2 linked regions of the Zea mays genome follow. The protein of the gene in region 1 interacts with the protein of each later gene in a pairwise test. Links are inferred from orthologs where the notes say so. Each region holds a gene or a part of one and is shown on either strand. Other genes may lie near its edges.

Evidence for each region. The genes of interacting proteins can lie anywhere in the genome.
Region 2: the proteins of Transcription factor PHYTOCHROME INTERACTING FACTOR-LIKE 15 (region 1) and Transcription factor PHYTOCHROME INTERACTING FACTOR-LIKE 13-like interact in binary tests that used the Arabidopsis thaliana proteins (3 or more experiments, as listed by UniProt). The link is inferred for Zea mays from reciprocal best matches to the Arabidopsis thaliana genes PIF3 and PIL5.

Annotation. Positions count from the first base shown.
Region 1 is NC_050103.1:1,249,804-1,253,876, forward strand, and holds the start of Transcription factor PHYTOCHROME INTERACTING FACTOR-LIKE 15, read left to right. Parts: upstream 1-1,273; 5' UTR 1,274-1,423; coding exon 1,424-1,581; intron 1,582-1,665; coding exon 1,666-2,752; intron 2,753-2,824; coding exon 2,825-2,917; intron 2,918-3,030; coding exon 3,031-3,096; intron 3,097-3,174; coding exon 3,175-3,240; intron 3,241-3,346; coding exon 3,347-3,835; intron 3,836-3,921; coding exon 3,922-4,035; 3' UTR 4,036-4,049; intron 4,050-4,073.
Region 2 is NC_050096.1:258,572,712-258,576,211, reverse strand, and holds part of Transcription factor PHYTOCHROME INTERACTING FACTOR-LIKE 13-like, read left to right. Parts: coding exon 1-90; intron 91-176; coding exon of another isoform or gene 177-188; coding exon 189-345; coding exon of another isoform or gene 346-419; exon of another isoform or gene 420-1,421; intron 1,422-3,500. UniProt on the Arabidopsis thaliana protein: Transcription activator. Negatively regulates chlorophyll biosynthesis and seed germination in the dark, and lightinduced degradation of PIF1 relieves this negative regulation to promote photomorphogenesis.

The DNA.
Region 1 (4,073 bases):
TCCATACTTCTGTGAGTACCAAAATTGTAGTTACATGTTGGTAATGCATCTGGTATAACACATGCAATCTCTTCTCTGTGCAGGGCCAATCTGGGGCGGCATCCAACAACCCTCATGAAGGGTACAACCTAACGCAGCACCAGTCCAACCGCCCACCTCCATGAGAGTTATGTATTTAGTGTTTCGAACACAAAACTTATGTTGAATACTTGTCAGAGCGTGTAAACTTGTGTTGATACTTCTGAACTTCTGTTAATACTGTTTGTGTTGAGAACCTCTCAACTTATGTTGAATACTTATGTCAGAATTTGTGTTAATACTGTTTGTGTTGGCTATATATGTCTGTGATGTATATATGTGATATCTATGAAATATCTTTTGTTTGTTTGGATGGAATAGGGAAAACAAATAAAAAAGGTGTGTACTGGTCTTGACGAGTGTAACACTCGGCAAAGCACCTCTTTGCCGAGTGTCAGAACCATAACACTCGGCAAAGAACCAAGACCTGGGCACCGGTATAGGTTCTTTGCCAAGTGTAATGGCTCTGGCACTCGGCAAAGAAGCACGCTTTGCCGAGTGCCACACCAAGCACTCGGCAAAGTACCTGACATGGGGAACCCCTCCGGCGGATTCTTTGCCGAGTGTTGTCAGGCAGTCACTCGGCAAAGACGCCGTCTTCGTCACCCGGCGCCGTAACGTCTGCTTTTCTTTGCCGAGTGTTCTCTGGCACTCGGCAAATCACTTTGTCGAGTGCCCGAGAAAATTTTTTCGGCAAAGAAGACTTTGCCGATGCACTGTGTGCCGAGCCCTCTTTGCCGAGTGCGACACTCGGTAAAACCTTTGACGAGTGTTTTTAAGGCTTTGCCGAGTGTTTCAGACACTCGGCAAAGCCGTCGGTTCTGATAGTAATTGTTAATTCGCATGCCCATAGACGGCTCGGTTTCTGTACCAGCAAGTACATGCACACTTGGGGGGTTGGGGTGCAGTTGCTTTGCGCAGGCTGTCAAGGTGCGCAGCAGGGAAGGAAGAAAGAAGCCATCCAATCATTTAGATCTCGCTGTGCAAGTACTAGTACTACGGAGCAGTAGTAGTAACAAGCTTGTGGTTGTGGGATCAGCCAACTGCGCAACGAAAAATAATTGCCACTGTATGCCCAACTCAACTCCTAGCTAGGAGAGGAAGAAGAGTACAAGGAAGAGACTGTGGCAAGCACAGCACAGTGGATACACACCTAGCTTGGCCGGTACAGAGCACCGTGCTTGCTTGTCCATTTCCGTCACAGCTAGCGCTTGCCCAGGTCCCCCACCTTATCAACAACAACTGTGCCCCTCCTGCCCCCGCTCGCCGCGAGAGCTCCCGTCCCGACGACCTTCCCTCCTGTAGCACTCTACAGTCTACACCAAGCAGCAGCGTCTCCTGTTGCATGTTGCACTGCACCTATCTACGACGTCCGTTCCCAGTGCTTTGCTCACCGACACCGTATCTTATGAGCAAGGAGCCCTGCTGCTCCCATCACCTTCATCAAGCCAAGCGTGTGTCCTCTGTCCTCTCCCAGCTGCGAGCTCCGACCCCCGGCACCATGTGAGCGGTTCCTTCTCATTCAAGCTCAACCTTGTCTCCGGGTTCTTGCTTGCTTGCTTGCTTGCTAACACCGCTGCCTAGCAGGTCCGACAGCAGCGACTTCGCCGAGCTGCTATGGGAGAACGGCCAGGCGGTGGTGCACGCGCGGACGAGGAAACACCCGCCCCAGCAGGCCGCCTTCCCGCCCTTCACCTTCACCTGCAGCAGCAGAGCTCAACAAAGGCAGCCGGTGCCGCCGCTGCTCAAGACGGGAGGAGGTCTCTTTGCCGACTTCTCCTCGGCCACCGCCGGCCTAGACGCCCCCCGTGACAACGCCGACCTCGACGACACCGTGCCGTGGATCCACTACCCCATCCCCATCGTCGACGAAGCCAGTCCCGCCGCGCCTGCCCTGGCAGATAGCTTCATCCCAGATTTCTTCTCGGAGCTGCATGCGGCGGCGGCGACGACGAGCCTCGGCCCTCTGCCACCACCACCACCACCACCACCAGCAGTCCAGCACACCGGCGACGACAACGACAACCGGAGCACCCCGGTTCCCAATCCCACCACCGGCAGAGGACCAGAGCCCTCAAAGGAAACCCACCGCGCACCAGTACCAGGTCCAGCCGGCAGGCCTGAGCCACAACCACAAGCTGAGCTCGCGCCCGCCAGGAAGCCTCGGCAGGAGAGCGGCGGCGGGGAGGCTTTGATGAACTTCTCCATCTTCTCTAGGCCGGCAGCCATGGCGCGTGCCAGCCTGCGGCAGAGGCCGCCACAGACAGGCACCGACAAGGCGTCCAATGCCACCACGAGCACCCGCGTGGAGTCGACGGTGCTACAGTCGGCCAGTGCCAGTGGGCCGAGAACTGCAGCTGCCCCCGCCGTGTTCGTGGACCAGAGGACGGCGTGGCCGTCGCAGCAGCCCAAGGAGGTGCGGTTTCCATGCGCAGCAGCAGCGCCACCGCCGACGCCGACGGCTGGTAACCTGCAGCAAGAAAGACCTAGCAACAACAACATGACTCCTCCGCAGAAAGAAGTAGAGACCAGGAAGGCGTCAGAGGCTGCGGGCGCCACCGCCACCTCATCGGTCTGCTCCGGCAATGGTGCTGGGACAGGAAAGGACGACGAGTCCTGGCGCCAACAGAAGAGGAAGACCCTGCAGGCCGAGTGTTCCGCGAGTCAAGATGATGTAAGCAGAGGATGTGAAGATATCGCACACCTTGGACACTGGAGTATCTAACACTGGTTCTCTTCTCTTCAGGATCCTGACGATGAGTCCGGTGGGATGAGAAGATCGTGCAGCAGAGGTGCGAAGCGCAGCCGCACCGCGGAGGTGCACAACCTGTCCGAAAGGGTAAGTCCCATGCCAATATGCCATGCGATCGATCTCGAGCTGGAGCCTGGAGCTGTGCACTTGAACTCACCGCACTGTAATGCATGCAATGCAATGCAACAACAAACCTGCAGAGGAGAAGGGACAGGATCAATGAAAAAATGCGTGCCCTGCAAGAGCTCATCCCCAACTGCAACAAGGTATGAAATGTAGATGGTAGATGGAACTGGTAGCAATAAACAGATGTATCGTCTCATCATCTCTCTCATTGCGCGCAGATTGACAAGGCCTCCATGCTGGACGAAGCGATCGAGTACCTCAAAACCCTCCAGCTTCAAGTGCAGGTACACTGACTAAAACTCGAAATGTAGCATGGTTCTTCTTCCATATAGATCGATGCACTGACAAGATATATGGTGGTTCTCTTTGATGCACTGACACATCACACAGATGATGTCCATGGGAAGTGGGCTGTGCATTCCTCCCATGCTGCTGCCACCAGCCATGCAGCACCTGCAGATTCCTCCGGCTGCTGCTCACTTCCCTCATCTCGGCATGGGATTGGGTTACGGGATGGGTGTCCTCGATATGAACAGCGCGGCGGCGGCGGCGGCGGCGGTTCCATTTCCGCACATGCCCGGTGCTCACTTCCCTTGCCCGATGATCCCAGGCGCGCCACTACCACGGGGTCTCGGAATCGGAATGCCTGCCAGAAACACGATGCCGGTGTTCGGAGTCCCTCCTGGGCAACCAATCCAGCCACCATTCCCATCTTTGGCGGGCCTTCCTGTCAGGCCAAACCTGGCACCTCCTCACGCCTCCTCAGCCGCCATGGCTAACATGGTGCAGGAGCAACAGCAGCAGCAGCAGCATCAGAGCCTGAATAATGGAGCATCAACAGCAGCAGCAACAGCATCAGATCCTCAGACTATCGTGCAGGTAGCGTTTCACAAATAGTGTATATAAAAATAGCTGAAAAGATCTTCGCCTGGATCTCTTATATCCAAATTTCACAATGGTTCCAGGCTGAGAGACAGCATTTTAGTGTGCCCTCTTCAGCACAAACCGAGAGCGATCAGTTTTTGGATGGTGGTGGCAACAGGGCTATTTGTACAGGAAGAAATGAGGCTGAAACATGAAAAACACTCAGCAGGTGAGTCTCTGTGTGTGTGTGACC
Region 2 (3,500 bases), on another chromosome or scaffold:
CACATGCCCGCGGTGGGCATCACGGAGCCGTACGGGCACTACATCGGCGTCAACCACCTGCAGCCGGCGCCGCCGCCACCGCAGGTCCAGGTCCGGCCGCGCGTCCCCTGCTGGCTGCTTCATTTTTTTTTTCTTTTCTACTTTTTGTGTGCTGTGTGGCTGACAAGTCTGGGCAGCACTACGCGCAGGGCGTGAGCTACTACCCGCCGCCGCTGGGGGCGACGGCGAAGGCCGTGCAGCAGGCTGCAGAGCTTCACCACGTGCCGGGGCCCGGCGGCAGCATCATGCCCGCCGGCGCCGCACCCGGAGTGCTGCTCCCGGAGAGCGCGCAAGGCAGAGGGCCAGGTACGGTGCCATGCGCTCCGCCCTTCTCATCCTCCGCTTCAGTTTTTGGGCTACAAATGGGAGCACTACGATGAGATGACAACTGCGGCCCTGTACAAGAATCTACTGTTCGCTTCAGTTTCTACGGGTTTGCATCTCGATCGACGAGTTCGGTTCTTGCCGAATAAAGTTGGGTAGCGTGTAAAGCGAGGGGACAAGTACGATACGGTTTGACTGTTTCAAGCCTTCCATCACTTACCATCGGCATCTCTGCTGTCAACGAAATCGGAGGAGTTAGAGCTGGATTACGTGCCTCAAGGTTTGCCACATGGGCCACATTTAGTGCTAGATCGTTTTGGGGGACCCATGCGCTAGTAAAGAATCCTTTTATTTTTGTGCCTCCTCACGGTCTAAACGATCTTATAAACCAGGGGAAATATTCAAAACTTATAAATTTTTATCAATAATTAGTGAAATTGTTAGAGCATAGAACTTATATCAATAGGTTTGTGTTAAAAATAACTCTAAAATGGTATTGATTTTTTATCCTCTGGCTTTATATTATAAAATAAAATAATGATTAAAAAATAGTTTACATGACTTTTCTTTCTCTAGTTTAATATCATTACTATTTTTAGATGGAGGGTAGATGGGAGTGGCTTTTTGTTTGTAGCTCAAGCTCCTTAGCTCTATGATACACTAACTTTTGTGAGGAACACATGGAAATTGATAAGAGTGATTATGACTGGAATTGAATAGAAAGCAGTGAGAAACATATTTTTAGCTCCTATATCTTCCAGTTTATATGGTGAAGTACTTCTTGACTAATCCACACTAACATATATGTGCAATTGCTGTTTGGCTAGCCGGAAATGATTTTTAATCGATAATCCGCTCCATGGAGCGCTACCAAGTGGCCTCTAATTCTTAGCTCCTGCTCCTTAATCTCTGATGGAGTGATTCTAGTTAGAGAGAGATTAATAAGGTGGGACAGTACGTGTGGAAAGCGATTTAGGTGACATTTGTAACTGGAGTAGTGAAAAGGAGTTATTTCTCCTAGGTTCTAGTGTAAATAAAGAAGTATTTTATTTTGTCAATTCCTTGAAAAAATATGTGAATTTGTTCCTCTTTATTTTTATTGAGCAGCGGTAATTTGCATAAATAAACCTCTTCCACACACCACGTCAAATTCCAATGCCGATTTCTTATTAATCTGACAAACAATAAAAACATAGACACACTCACTCATAAATGCATGGATATAATATCCCCATGTGCGCCTCTAAAAGACCGAGTCCAGATCGAGAGATCTGGAGACTGTCGAAATTGCCACAAAAACACCTTGCTATCGACGAGCACATCGTCTACTATACTAGAAAACAACATTGTTTAATCTTAAAAAAATAAATCTAAAAAATATAAGTATTTGTGTTAGCTCAATGACTTGAACACGAGTAAACAAGTTTCACCATAATTTAAAGAACACCTAACTAGTAACCAGTTAAGCTACACTCAAGTTTGCGATTCAGATTTGCGACCACAACGAAGCCGCTCGTATTAATTGTTGTGCACTTGTGTTATATTCTTTAGGACAAAGTTACATAGCTTTTTAAAAGTAAAAGTCACAGAGCTGCTTACAGAAGAGAGGAGGGGAATGCATATAAGAAAGAAAAAAAAATGATGGGCTAGAAAGGAAACTAGCCTTTTGGAGTTCAGGTTCTGCCCAATCATTGCCAGCACAATGGAGAAGAAGGTTCTGTGCTCCGAACCTTTTGTTTAGTGGAGCAGCAGCACCTAAAGTAAAGTCAGCTCACTTTTCAGTCATTATTAACACAGGGCCCTGAAAAGCCGCCCTGAGAAGTGAACATTGCAGTGAGGTAAGGTAGTACTCCCTAGTCTCTACCCAGTGGCATCGATCTCACGAAAACTACGTAACGTCTGACCATTCTGCCATGCCAATACTGTTAGAATCTATACTGTGTAGGATCGATTCCTAAGTCCTTAGAAAACCAATCCGTAACTGGAAGTGAAATCTTTATGACGAGTACATCTCTTCTACTAAGAGGAATAGGAAAACATACCTTATTGTTGGAGAGTTGTAGTTGCTGTCTTCATATTGTTGTCCTGCAGAGAAACAGCACGCATCGAATCCGAGCTGCCGTTGGTTGTAGCGTTTCCGGACACTCCGACACTTAGGCGATGGGGGCCTCTGGTAGCTAGGGTTTTGGGGCGAGGTACTTGCGTTAGTTTTTCCTGCGACCCCTTAGTCCTATATATATAGCGTCGTGTGCCTGGGGGCTCCAACCGAGGTTAGCGTGGGCCCTCCCGATCAAGGGCCCGATTAAAGGAACGATAGTTGGGTTAAGCCCAATCCAGTCTCTATTGACCGGCTGTAGAGGACACACCCAACAATCTCCCCTTTGTTCTCTACATTCCTTGTACTCAACTTTTCTGGATTCCATCCCTCGACAAGTTTACACATAGAGACCAATGCGTGACAATAACCGATTAAGTATCATCGCACTCATTGACTACAACATGCTCTCCTGCTTCAGAACGAAAAGAGACTTCATTTGGTTGCAATCTGTAGCCCCTTTGATTCAAGATCATAGGTACTCCCTTAAAACCCATGCCGGATGCGTGCTTACTAAACACGCTGGGTAGAAGACCTTTTGTGAGCGGATCCGCTAGCATCTGCTATCTTCTGTTATGCTCATCTTTTATGATTTGATCCTGAATCTACTCCTTAACAACATAATACTAAAAGTCAATGAACTTGGCAGCGCCACTTGACTTGCTGTTATAGGAGTACGGTACCGCTGGCTCATTATCGCAGTAAATTCTCAGTGGTCGCTCTATGCTATCAACCACTCTTAATCCGGGTACAAATTTCTTTATCTTTATTGCCTGCCCATTTGCCTCATGCATGGTTACAAACTCAGTGTGCATTGTCGACGATGCTCTCGCTGTCTGTTTGCAACTTTTATAAGAAATAACTCCCCCAGATATAGTAAATTTATACCTCGAAATAGGGAACTAGATCTTATATTTGTTAGCATGAGGCCATTTTCGTACCTTAGAGGTACATTAGAGCCTTCTTAACTGCTTAACAGTGTTCTATGCTTGGGTTGATCTGATATCTCCCAAGCATCCCGGTAGTAAATTCTAAGTCAGGG